Regions from separate parts of the Mus musculus genome. Here regions 1, 2 and 3 are each reported to be linked to region 4. Evidence: microRNA targets listed by miRTarBase, many of them from high-throughput screens and not tested one by one. Region 4 holds a microRNA gene; each other region holds the end of a gene's coding sequence.

What was found. Region 4 holds the annotated microRNA mmu-miR-9-5p (UCUUUGGUUAUCUAGCUGUAUGA, at 1,591-1,613, shown strand). A microRNA usually pairs through its seed, bases 2 to 8, with sites in the 3' UTR of a target mRNA and lowers its output. Matches are read on the target gene's strand: a 7mer-m8 pairs with bases 2 to 8, a 7mer-A1 pairs with bases 2 to 7 and ends in A, and an 8mer does both.
Region 1: the mRNA of Prrt3 is a reported target of mmu-miR-9-5p. Seed matches in the 3' UTR shown: 7mer-A1 at 2,517-2,523.
Region 2: the mRNA of Chl1 is a reported target of mmu-miR-9-5p. The part of its 3' UTR that is shown has no 7-base or 8-base seed match.
Region 3: the mRNA of Kif5a is a reported target of mmu-miR-9-5p. The part of its 3' UTR that is shown has no 7-base or 8-base seed match.

The regions. Positions count from the first base shown.
Region 1 is chr6:113,491,432-113,494,510 of GRCm38, forward strand. It overlaps Prrt3 (proline-rich transmembrane protein 3), which reads right to left. Exons shown (of 4, transcript NM_001289700.1): 4 at 2,208-3,079. The coding sequence ends at 2,860. Creld1 (cysteine-rich with EGF-like domains 1) reads left to right here. Exons shown (of 10, transcript NM_133930.2): 7 at 222-305; 8 at 463-558; 9 at 693-827; 10 at 1,256-1,912. The coding sequence ends at 1,470. Among named protein-coding and RNA genes, the nearest start is that of Prrt3, 9.0 kb to the right of the region's middle.
Region 2 is chr6:103,728,731-103,731,809 of GRCm38, reverse strand. It overlaps Chl1 (cell adhesion molecule L1-like), which reads right to left. Exons shown (of 27, transcript NM_007697.2): 27 at 1-2,691. The coding sequence ends at 2,475. Among named protein-coding and RNA genes, the nearest start is that of Gm52914, 19 kb to the left of the region's middle.
Region 3 is chr10:127,226,963-127,230,041 of GRCm38, forward strand. Kif5a (kinesin family member 5A) reads right to left here. Exons shown (of 29, transcript NM_001039000.4): 28 at 2,783-2,894; 29 at 1-1,459. The coding sequence ends at 2,816. Among named protein-coding and RNA genes, the nearest start is that of Pip4k2c, 17 kb to the left of the region's middle.
Region 4 is chr13:83,737,231-83,740,309 of GRCm38, forward strand. Mir9-2 (microRNA 9-2) reads left to right here and starts at 1,584; the gene lies at 1,584-1,655. It overlaps C130071C03Rik (RIKEN cDNA C130071C03 gene), which reads left to right. Exons shown (of 4, transcript NR_152245.1): 4 at 940-3,079. It overlaps Gm51268 (predicted gene, 51268), which reads right to left and starts at 1,646; the gene lies at 1,591-1,646.

The DNA.
Region 1 (3,079 bases), not on the chromosome of region 4:
GGCTGTTTTTAAGTAACATCTCCATCCCAGGCAGAGGGCTGCACCTAGCCGCAGGGCTCGAGTGTCTGACAGGATAGCGCTAATCCAGCTGCCCTTACTTAAGAGTTGGTAGTCGGCCTGCAGCATCTACCACATTTGCGATCATAGACAAGTCCACTCCTGGACAGTCCTGCCGTAATTCCTCTGCAAAGGGACACTCCCAACCTTTGCCCTCTCCACAGACATCGATGAGTGTGGTACAGAGCAAGCCACCTGTGGAGCTGACCAGTTCTGTGTGAACACAGAAGGATCCTACGAGTGCCGAGGTCAGTGTCGGCTGCCCAAGGGAGAGGCTGGAATGGAAGAGAGGGACAGGAGGTGGTGCTTCAGGCCTTTCCCTCCGAACTTCTGCTATTCAGGCTCCAGAGCCTGAGATTGGGGCGGGGGGGGGGGCACCCCTCACTTCTGCCCTCTCTTTTTCAGACTGTGCAAAGGCCTGCCTGGGCTGTATGGGAGCAGGGCCAGGGCGCTGCAAAAAGTGCAGCCGTGGCTACCAGCAGGTGGGCTCCAAGTGCCTAGGTGAGTCTTCTGCCAAAAGGGGCTGGAGTATGGGGGAGGCAAGGGAAGGAAGGATGCACACTGAGACCGTGGGGAGCTGTGCGGGGAGCCTGTGGCAGTCAGCACCCTGACCTGTTCCCCTCCCCCACCCCCAGATGTGGATGAGTGTGAGACTGTGGTGTGTCCAGGAGAGAATGAGAAGTGTGAAAACACGGAGGGAGGCTACCGCTGTGTCTGTGCTGAGGGCTACAGACAGGAGGACGGCATCTGCGTGAAGGAGCAGGTCCCGGGTAAGCAGGGTGGGAGGCTGGACTGCTCCTGAGGGAGAGCAGACAAGCTCCTCCTCCGGGCCCCACCCCACTGCTACCCAGCCCCCAGAGAGGCTGCCCTGAGACTCAGTCCCTGTGCATCCTCAAGGTCGGCTTTTGGTGGTCTCACCTCCGCGTAGAAAGAGAATTAGATTTGGCAGCAAACTCCACCTATCCCAAGTTTTCTGATGTTCCCAGGGACCGTCCTTCAAAGCTTTGAGCAGTCCCTTCACCTCCCAGCTTCCTTCGAGCTTAGTGAGGTAGCTCCTGCAAGGCTTTCTCAGTAGTGAATGCTGCTTGTGCTTGGTGAGCTAGGCGGGCCCGGGCAGCCGTGATCAGGCGTGTGGGAGGTGTGGGCAGCTCCGGGAACTGCCAGGAAGGAGGCAGTGACAGGCGCACCTCCTCTGCAGAGTCGGCGGGCTTCTTTGCGGAGATGACGGAGGATGAAATGGTGGTTCTGCAGCAGATGTTCTTTGGTGTAATCATCTGTGCGCTGGCCACGCTTGCTGCCAAGGGTGACTTGGTGTTCACTGCCATCTTCATTGGAGCTGTGGCAGCCATGACTGGGTACTGGTTGTCAGAGCGGAGTGACCGTGTGCTGGAGGGCTTCATCAAGGGTAGATAATCCCTGCCGCCACTCACAGGATTTCCTCCCACCCAGGCTGCTCCTAGAGGTTATTTCTCTCTCCCTATGGATACCTGGGACAGCATAGTTTCTCTTTGAGACTGGGGTAAACACCCTTTTACCTGCCTTACTGAGCAGCCCAGGACCCCAGTGGCCCCAGGGGGTTGAAAAAGAGGTCCTGAAGCAGATGCCACGAGATCCTAGCCTAGGACACTGGCAGGCCTCACCGTGTATGAATCCCAAGACAGTTTCTCCCCAGGGAGGTTGCAGGTGGGCTTTGGCCCCTGACCCGGATGAGAGGTGTCCCCTCAGGGGTGGGCCCCCATAGGCCCCTTGCCAGGTGCATGCTGCCAGCTCCAGCTGTGTATTCACCGCCCACGCCCTAGCCATCGACTTATTTATTCATCTCAGGAAATAAAGGACGGTCTTGAAAATGGGAAAAGCTTCAGTCTTAACAACCCACCACTGCCACTAAAGTGAAGTTTTCTACAGCCCTGGGGAATCATGGGCTGCCATGTTAGAGAAGTGCTGGAAAGGGGCTGGGGAGACAGGGAGGCTGTTAGGAGCAGTTGCTGCCCTTGCAGAGAGACTCCAGGTTCAATTCCCCGCACCCATGCAGTGCCTCACAGCCATCCAGCCTCCAGTCCTAAGGGACTGGACTCAGTCTCTGACCTTGGGTACCAAGCACACACATGGTGCACATAGACATGCAGGCAAAACATTCATACACATAAAATAAATCTACAAAAAACAATGTTTTTAAATAAAAACCAGCAAGAAATGGAGGAAGGGGAAAGATGACAGAGGAACCAGCTTAGGAGTCGGTCTTCCTGGGTTGAACCCCAGCTGTTCTCATTTCCGGAAGTGGGCAGGATACTTTCCGATTAGGCCTTATATGGGGTTTGCAGGAGGTGGGGACTCCACAACAGACGGGTTTTTAGTGAGATAGGGGTGGCTGTACCTACCAAAGCCAGAGGTCTCTGCTGTGAGGAGAGACCCTGGCTTGACCAGAGCGAGGCATGAGCCCAATCGGAAGGGTTTTTATTTCTTTGGCACAAAGAGGACAGTCAGTCTGGACAAGTGAGGTGCATCTCTCCACACTGAGAGGGTCAGGGGTACCTGGCCCCTGGCCCCCATGATCAAATCCATGCACATCCACCCTGTGTTCCGTGTAACTCACGGCCTCTGTGCAAAATATCTGCTGAAAAAAATAGAGATATTAAAAAAACAAAAACAAAAAACGAGTTGGGTAAATTCAAGCCCGGCTGTACCCGGGAGCTGCAGTCTGGTGGAGGCCCGGGAGGGCCAATTTTTCAAATGCTCAACTGTCTTGGCTCAGCCTCTTCTTGTGGACATTGAGGAGAGGGTACAGGTTCTCTCCGTAGGTGCTTAGAGCTCTATAGTGTCACTAGAGGCGCTGTGAGACTCGCTGGACTTGCAACGCGACTGGCCCTCGCCCTGAGGCTCCCCCGCCCGGGCAGGAGCAGGGACTGGGGTAGGTGGTGGCAGCAGCTGCACGGTGCTGGGCAGTTCATCTAGGGGCAGGCTGTCCACGGATGACAGCCCGTGACGCCACGGGTTCCAGCTGATCTTCAGCGAGCCCTTGGAG
Region 2 (3,079 bases), not on the chromosome of region 4:
ATTGTTTGAGACAGTAAAAGAATAAAATCCACTTTAACCAATTGGATTTGTTTTCATTTGAATGTAGTAAGTAATATAATTCTATAATTAAAATAAAAAGTCCATGGACCTTGGCCTGCTTTGCTGAAGAGTTACAACGGAATGAAACCAAATAGTATGTATAAGTTCACAGAGGCTAGCAAAAGGTGTTATAAGCCAATCTCCCATTCCCACAGCTAAGGAAAGAATGATGAGATCCATTGGAAATATAAGTATTTGTGTCAACTTCTCACTCGAAGATTATTAAATTCCTAATGACTCTATTCTGAACGTTTGGATGTTATTTTCCACTTATATAACCCTTTTCCAGGCACATTTTGATGATAAAGAGGAGGCAGAATAATAACATGTTTAATGTCAGTCACATCCATTATTTCCTCTGGGGCTCAGCACTACAGGTCCTCCCATAAAAATAGCACACAGTGATGGATTTTCCAGAAATCTGTGCCCTGGTCATCAGAAAGGGCTGGAGAGCTGCTCACACAGCTGGACTTCTGGATCCTTACACTCACACCCGCTTTCATTTGGTACTTCCAGGAGAGTAACTGAATACTGAGATCCATGGGTTTTAAAAACAAACAAACAAACAAACCCAAAACCAACCAAAACAAAAAATCAAAACAAAACCCCAAGAAACATCCACAAAAATTAAAAACAAAAACAAAACCAAGATTTTCCTGCCTATGCATTCTCGAGGATGCCTGTGGGCAAAACATATGCTTCATGTTTATTACTGCATTGGCTCTTTTGCATGTCCACAATTTAAATCCCCAAGTAACACAATGCATTATGCCAATTAAACATGAAGAATGAATAATATGGTCAGTAATTATACAAACTAAAGTTAAATCTGTGAACCAATATCACTTAACATGTAATAATTTCATGGTGAAGCTAAAATGTTTCCATTAAATGTGAAAGGAAATACTAATATTTAACATTTACTTATATGTATGCAGAGTCCTTCAAGGGATTTCTAAAATGCTCTAAACCCTATGTACCATTTTAGATGGACTGGTAGCCCACATGCCAGAAATTAAAATCCCTGAATCTGTACTAACTTTGATAGAAGGAAAACATTAAAAATGATCATACCACTACAAATACATTTACAATATGATATAAACTAACAGGTATATAAGAATTTCTACTGTAGGTAATTTTCTTTTTGGAGTGCTGGGGTAGGAATCCATTCCACAACTTACTTTGGAAAATATGAATGTATTTCCCTCTATGATTATATAATGTTTTATTTTTGAGACCACATGAAGGAGGGAAATATAAGGACAGAATCCAATTTTTCATATAGTCTTGTATATGGAACCTCATGTTATTGTATCTAGCCCCAGAAGAATAAAAATGGTATCTTACTATATATATTCTAGCTGTACAATCATGCCTATTAATGTTCCTTTTCTCACTTTAAAATAAAACACTATGTTTTAAACTGTGTAAATATTAACATAATATGTACAATGCATTCATGAAATACACTCAAGGGTCTCAGTATATAAACATAAAGGCTGAAAGCCCTAAACTTACAAATGAAGATATAAAATCAAGACGTCTACATCTTTCTCTTTTTAAAATAACTTATGACTACCACTCCCTTTGCAGCTCCAGTTAGTTCAAGTTGAAAGAAGAAAGAAAGAAAGAAAGAAAGAAAGAAAGAAAGAAAGAAAGAAAGAAAGAAAGAAAGAAAGAAAGAAAGAAAGAAAGAGGGAGGGAGGGAGGGGAGGGAGGGGAGGGAGGGAGGGAAAGGTACATACAGAGTTACCATTACTAACAGAAATTAAACAGAATCATCCAGAAACTGAAAATATTGTAATCTGAGTAAAGATGGCCTTTGTCTGGGCAAAAAGTTAGGAGCTCAATAAATATGAGTGGTATGATCATCTAAGACTTTTGCTACTAAAATTTTAAATAATAACTTTAGACTGTATAGATTCCACGGGATGTTTAATAAGACAATCATGTTCCTTTTTACATTTTAAATAACCAGCTTGCTTGCTTACAATCTTTTATCCTGTAGTGAATCGAATTCACTAAAACAGTTCTTCAAAACTAAGTATAATTGTGCATCCAGAGAGAAACCCACACATCTTAGCAACATCAATGCACACACACTGAACAGGAGAGCCAGGTAGATGTGGAGTATCTGAAATGGGAACTTTGGATTCAGTCAAAGTGGATCTAAGTACAGGATTTGTTTCGTGTTCTGCATTTTGAGCACCTGAAATCAAAACCCAAAATGAAACACAAGTCTGAAGTTCTTGGCATCTGATTTTTTTTCCCTTTTTCTTTTTGAAGGCAGTGCTATTTCTTTCATCAAAATTGCAGAATATCAACCTCTGGACACGCGTTTCCGCTCCTGTGTAAAAGGCCTTGCTCCCCTTGTCCGGCTTAGCCACCCGTGGTGCCTGAATGTGTTGTTCTCATGCCCGGAGTGGGAAGGTGGCAGTTGAACTTCCATTGCTTTCAACGGATCCCTTCTCCTTAGCTCCAGTGTATGCGCCAATAAACGATCCATCTTCGTTGAATATGGACTGGTCTCCCTCTCCATATTCCACTAAACTGTCAGCACTCTCTGTGGGCTGCATGTTCCTATTCAGGGACCGAAGGCTTCCCTTGAGAGGTTTTTCATCACTGTCGCTAAAAAAACAAAACAAGACTTGACAAGGTCTAATAGGTTCTAGACTATCCAGGTTACTCATATTAACAAAAATGACAGAGACATACAAATGAAACGACATATTCACAAATAGATATTTAAAAAGCCGTAACCAATTTTCTTCATTCGGTGTAACTAAGGAAACTTTTTTTTTGTTTACACTTCTGTTTCCCTTTGAAATGAAGCATTCCTTAGTGGAATGAAGATGTAGCATGTTGATTTATATTGAGACGGTGGTCTGAGCCCCCTAAACTCACATGCTGAAATGCTAAGCCCCAGAATGATGGCAGTAGTAGGGGGCTGGGTCATTGGAAGTTACCAGTCACAGAAAAGAGTCCTCCAGAAAGCCACCTTGATGTTTCAAAGACA
Region 3 (3,079 bases), not on the chromosome of region 4:
AACTGTCCTGTCCCCACTTCCTTCCTTTCCTCCCTTCCTTCCTTTCTTTCCTTCCTTCCTCCCTTTCCTTACTTTTCCTTCCTTCCTTCCTTCCTCTTCCTTCTTCCCTTTCCTTCATTCTGAGATAGGATTTCCTCCCGTCATAGTACAAGCTCTCCTGGATCTAACTGTGTAGTCCAGGATAGCCTCAAATTTAGCAATTTTCCTACCTCGGCTTCCTGAGAGCAACATTCGAAAGTGTGAGCCACTACACCCAGCTTCTGCTTTTTTGCTTTTGCAGTGCTGGGATCAACAGCAGAGCTTTTTCCTGTGTCAGGGAGGCCGCCTGCCACCATGCTCCAACCTGCTCCCCCACCCCTGTCTTTAAAGTGCACTTGGGACCAGATGGAGATTACAGAAGGAACTGTGTTTGGGGGAGGAAGGTATACTGGGAACAGGCCAGATTCCATTCTGAAGGGACGGCATCTAGAGACGGCGATTATGCCAACAAACCGGAAGCCCCAAACCAAAGTCAGGAGTGGGAAGCACACACAGCCCAATATGGGAGAAAGAACGAGCTTGGAGCTTCAACCTGAGGGTTCTGTGACAGAGTAGCACACAGTAGTCCCTCAGCCTGCTCACTCCCCAGAGCCAGGGAGCCAACCATTCTGACTCCACCTGCGTATAACTATTGGCACAGACAGGTGAGCAGCGGTTTCTCAGCAGTCCGCCTTCTCGAATTTTCAGAAGATGTTTTAAACCAACTCTAAGTTCTGGTTGTGATATCTGGAGTGGAAAGTACAAGAGGCTTGGGCCAGAAAGGGAAACAGTCCCTTGAGTAGTCCATGCTCTCCAACCAGGGAAGGGAGCACAAGGCAGACCTCACAGGGCAGAGGAGACCGCCTCCAGTGTGCTGACTCCGGTGAGGGATGCGTATGTGTGAGGGAGAGAGCGGTGTCGCAACCTTCCACTGGGGCCTCCTCTGTGTTCTGTGTAAAGAGGGAAGGGGTCTATTTCTCTCTTTTCGTAGATGCTAAGACATTCCTCTGCTTAAGGCTTTGTATGTACACTGTGTGTGCATGCGTGTGTGCGTGTACACGTGTGTTTGTGAGAGAGAAGAAGGGCAGCCTCCCCGCTCCCATTTTTCCTTTATCTTTTGTGACCTCTACTCAGTGACTGACATCACTCGGTGTAAGAAACGAGTCTATGGAAGAAAGAAGAAATATTCCCTCCTCCCTAACGCCCAACGAGGAAGGGAGACTATGCTTAAAAACTGCTAAATACATCATCAGATACTTAGAGGGGAGGACAGAGAGGAGAGACAGCAGCAGCTTCTGATAGATAGATACAGAGTACAAAGAGATACGGAATAGGAGGAGACATCAAACAGTCCAACATCACGGGCTGGGGAGGGAGTTAGTGTCAGAGACCACAGGTTTTGCAGCATGCTGAGAGAAGAGGCCTCAGTCCCTCTTAGAAACTGGGGAAGAAAGAGAAAGAGGGTGTGAGGAGCCAGCCCGGCCTGGCCTCTGTGTAGGAACAGACAACATAGAACACCACGAAGCCAGCCCCACCCCCCACTGCCAGCCAGTCCAATCCATGTTTCTCCACCCCAAGTCTTGCCAGCATCCTCTCCCCCTTAACACATCTCTTTCTCTCCTGCTTTTCTGCCTGAGCCACTGTCCGGGGAAAGCCTGGGAGGGACGCGGCCTCGTGCATCTCAGCAAGACTGGACATTTTCTCTTGATTCAGCAAAGGAGCTATAAAGTGTACCATAACATAGGTCTCTCTGACCATCTGGGGTCTAAAACAAACATGGAATATGCCCGGTGACACCAGGTCCTGGTGTGATCGGGGACTTGGTGTGATTGGGGAGGTGTTGAAGCTGGAGGGTTAGTGGATGGGGAGGCAGCTGGTTTCCATTTTTACTGACCGTACTGTTGTTTCTAGCTAGAGACACCGAGAGTCTTTGGCAGCATATGTCAATCCAGGAGTAGTGCAGACATCACCTTTACACGAGGTGGCTTAGACATCTCTGTGTATCTAAGGCTATTTTAAGGCTATTTTAGGGTAAAGGCACAAGGTAGTAGACCGATGGACAGCAGCCCTTGCCTTTAACAAAAATTTTAATGTATGACAGTGACCCCTAGTGGTAGAAATGAGTACTGTGATTACCACCAGCACCTAAGGGAAGGCTTGGGGCCATGGGAGGTCAGGGTTGGCTATGAATGAGATTTGGGCTTTTTAGCAAATGTTTCTGTTTGGTTTTGATACAGGGTCTCATGAATCCAGGACTCCTTTGAACTCATGATCTCCCTGCCTCTGCCTCGTGCAGCCATACAGGGCCAAGCAGGAGTTGGAAGATTTTGGCTCAGTCACTAAGTGCTTACTGAACAGACATGAGGACTATGTTTGGATCCCCAGTACCCCAGGGGACAGAAATGGGCAGATATGGGGGGTGGGGTGGGACAGAGGGAGGGTGGGGAGGTGACTGACCAGCCAGTCTACCCCAAAACAGCAAGCTCCAGGTTCTGTGAGAGACCTCAAAAAGTAAGATGGAAAGTGAGAGAGGAAGACACCCACACCAAGGCTGGCCTGTGGATGTGAGCGCGCACACACACACACACACAAATGAAGACACCCACACCTACTAACCTTGGCCTCCTGATGTGGGTACACTCATGCACACACAACACACACATACAGACACATACAAACATATACACATACACATGAACAGGAGAAGCAGCCATGGCCAGACAGGAGGAGGCTGGGGCTAGGGAGGGAAGTGGCCTGCAGCTACCTGAAAGTGCAGATATGTGGCCAGGGTTGGGAGTTAGCTGGCTGCTGTCTCTTGGTGGAGAGGGAAAAGCTTGGCCTGGTCCTCAGCCTCATAGCCACACGGCAGGTCACTCCTGGAGGAAGAAACAGCCTGTCAACAGCTCTGCCCCCACTGCGGCCAGCACTCTGACAGCGTGCCTGAGATACTGAAGGGCGGGTGAGGGCAGGAAGGATGCAGGCTTCCTAAGGAACCTCAGGCCTTGCCCAAGGTCGGAACGTTCCCTGAGGTACGGAGAAAGTACCCATGGGAGTGCCTGGA
Region 4 (3,079 bases):
TAGCTTCCCTCCCTCCCCATCCAGGTGTTGGATCTACATGTTCAGGAGACAAGACTTTTATTTTAATTTTATAAGCAAGTCTAGTGCATTATTGTCCAGTGTGAAATTTATGTTAAAACAGTAGACAAAGGCTCAGCATTTTTGCTACAGCAGAGTTGTGTACAACATTGAAACTATTGCTGCAATGTTTACCTGTGCAGCATGCTAACCCCCACACACACTCTATATGCAAAGCATTTTTAAAAAAGAAGCCCCACTGTTTAGATCGTGCAGTTCGAACTTACAGAACAAATATGCTGCCCTATCGCCACGGTACACAGATAGAAAACATGACTGAGCTGTAAAGCCATTAAAAACATAACACCAAAGCAAATTGTCATTGTAACCATCGACTCACTGCGTAAAAACAGAGCTGATTCCCAGCCCCAGAAAGCGAGGCCCTGCTTTAAGCAATAGTAAAGTGCCTTCCATCTGCCTGCCTATGCAATCTGCCAGAAGAGAAATGCAGGCAAAGAAGTTCCCCAGACCTGAAATGCTTTTATCTATCCTTAGAGAGAGATTTTCTCCATTCTTTGGATATTAGAGCGATCTACACTAGCGCCAAGGAGGTAAAAGGCCGCGGGTTGCTTTTCAAGGAGCAGTCCGTAGTGCTAGTGGATGAAATGTTGATTGAGAATATAGGGACTGCTGCAAAGCTGCTGCTGCCGTCGCCGCCACCGCTGCCGCCGTCGCCGCCGCCGTCGCCTGTGCTACTCCTGGCAGCAGGCGTGGGGCAGTTGGGTGACCACTGATGCATATCAATAACCATGTACTTGAGATTTCTCATGACATCATCATTACCTTGGTCTCCCGCAGTCTCAAACCTTTGACCTTGCCGGGCTGGTCCACAATTTGGCGGTGAAAGCCCCTCCAATGATGGCCCTTTTCTCCTTCTTTCAGACCGGGGCAGCAGTACGCCAGCAAGAGGGCATGCTCTGCCCGCCTAGAAGTCCTAAGAAATCGAGGATCTCCCTTAAAACATTCACATACAAGATATGTGCAATCAAGCTGCCTGCACTTGGTAAAAAAGATCATGATGCCTAACCCAATGATCCGGAGCAGATCTTTGAATCAGCTGTCACTTCTATAGAATGGGATTTCCCCCTTCTTCCTCTTTAACCAGCGTTGGAAACTGCCGATGGCTTTATACATCTCAGTAGAGGAAGGCTAAAGAATCTTCCGTGAGAATGAAGCAATTTACAATGCAAATAGAGGCCTGTGAAGAGAAGGACACTGCTGCTCACCCCCAACAGCTTGCTGCACCTTAGTCTCTGGTCTTAATTTCTGATACTCATAGATGAATTGTTGGCTAACGATACTGGAGATTACTTGCTGGAAGGGGAAAAGTTTGGAATAAACTCTGAATGCAACAGATCTCATTTGGATGTTCTAGCCGCACACACTAAGACAGAAACCAGGTCATGTTTACATGAAAGGAGAAGCTTAAACGCGGCAAGTACCCCGGAGGACTACGCTTCCCTAAAGCCAAAGAGGATCGAGATCTGGAGTTCAGCCAGAGGAAGGCAGCCTTGTGAGGGAAGCGAGTTGTTATCTTTGGTTATCTAGCTGTATGAGTGTATTGGTCTTCATAAAGCTAGATAACCGAAAGTAAAAACTCCTTCAAGGTCACCGAGGAACGTTCCGGAAAGAAAGACTGCAACCAAGAGACAGTAAAAACCAGAAAGGTCAGGAATGCTTATTGAATCTAACTTTTTTTATCTTATGATTGAAAGTGGGATGCAAGAAAATTAAGTGACACGCATATTGAAATCTAAAGGGGCCAGGCTTTGAGGGGCTTGTACAACTGGAGAGGAGAATTGTGTAGTGTTTTTTACGGGTGACGATGCATGTATTTTCTATATTGTTCATTTTGAAGCAAACGTTTACATATGAGGTTTTTTTTTTCTTTTTTTTTCTTAGAAAGCTGTTATAGTGATGTCTGGTACCTCGCTTAAAAATGATTTCATAATTATGTAGATTTGGGCTGTTCCTATCTGAGGCCCCTCCCCCAAGTTTGAAGCTTGTGCCTGGAAACTTTCTATGTATTTGGGTGTGTACATCAAATTCTGTGAAGTTAGACTTTCAGTAAAGCTTATACTGGAAGGTTAATAATTTATATCTACCGAAGACTTAGAGCTAGCAGGGAAAAGGGGTGGGGGCAAAGGCTGATTTTTATTCTTCTATTCAAAATACAAGGACAGATGCTTCTCTGTTCCAAGAGGGTTTCCTTGAGGAAGCTACTGAAGCAGAAAGACATGATGGAGACGAGATCGCCTCCCCTCTTGTCAAAGTGTTAAAAAAATGTTCTGTCTTACTCTGCGCCTAGCATTGGAAATGAAAGTGACATTTACGCCACAACCCACGTGTGCGCCTCCTCTCTTTTTGTTTAAGGATGATCAGGTCTATCCAGGAAACAGCTCTGGCATCCCAAACTGAAATAATTAGGACGTATATAGACCTGACAAAAATGGAAAGGGGGTGGGGAATCTGAGGGTCTGTCTTGCCTAATTGATTCCGCTAAACGGAAAGCAGGAGATGTGAACGGCAGGACGCTCCGATTCCCACGCTCGGGGGCAAGTGGTAAAGCCTGGCCGGCAGCCTATGACAGACAGCCCTGTTGGGGGGTAGGGGTATGAAAAAAACATCAAGCACACACACACCATACTCATCTCCATCGCTTAAGAAAGTAAAGGCATTTCCCACCCACAGCCATCTGCAGCCTCCCAAATGGCAACACCAACTGGTTGGTAGCTGCTATGTACTGTCTCTGTTCATTTTTAAACCTCTGTTTAATCTGGCCATGATTAAATTTGGATTTCTCCTTTGGTTGAAATTTTCACCATTTAAGGAAAACAAGTGGAAAGGGTGCCAAGAGTGCCCCAGAACTGCATGCCCTTCTCAGAGAAGTCCTCAGTATGTGGTTAGGGCCTTGTGACCACCTTTGGCTTTTGTTTTGGCTGTGTTATATTTTAAAGTCATGTCTCATAGCATTCATTATTATGACTTACTTCATCGGGTTGTTTACTTCCTTGTGTGACAC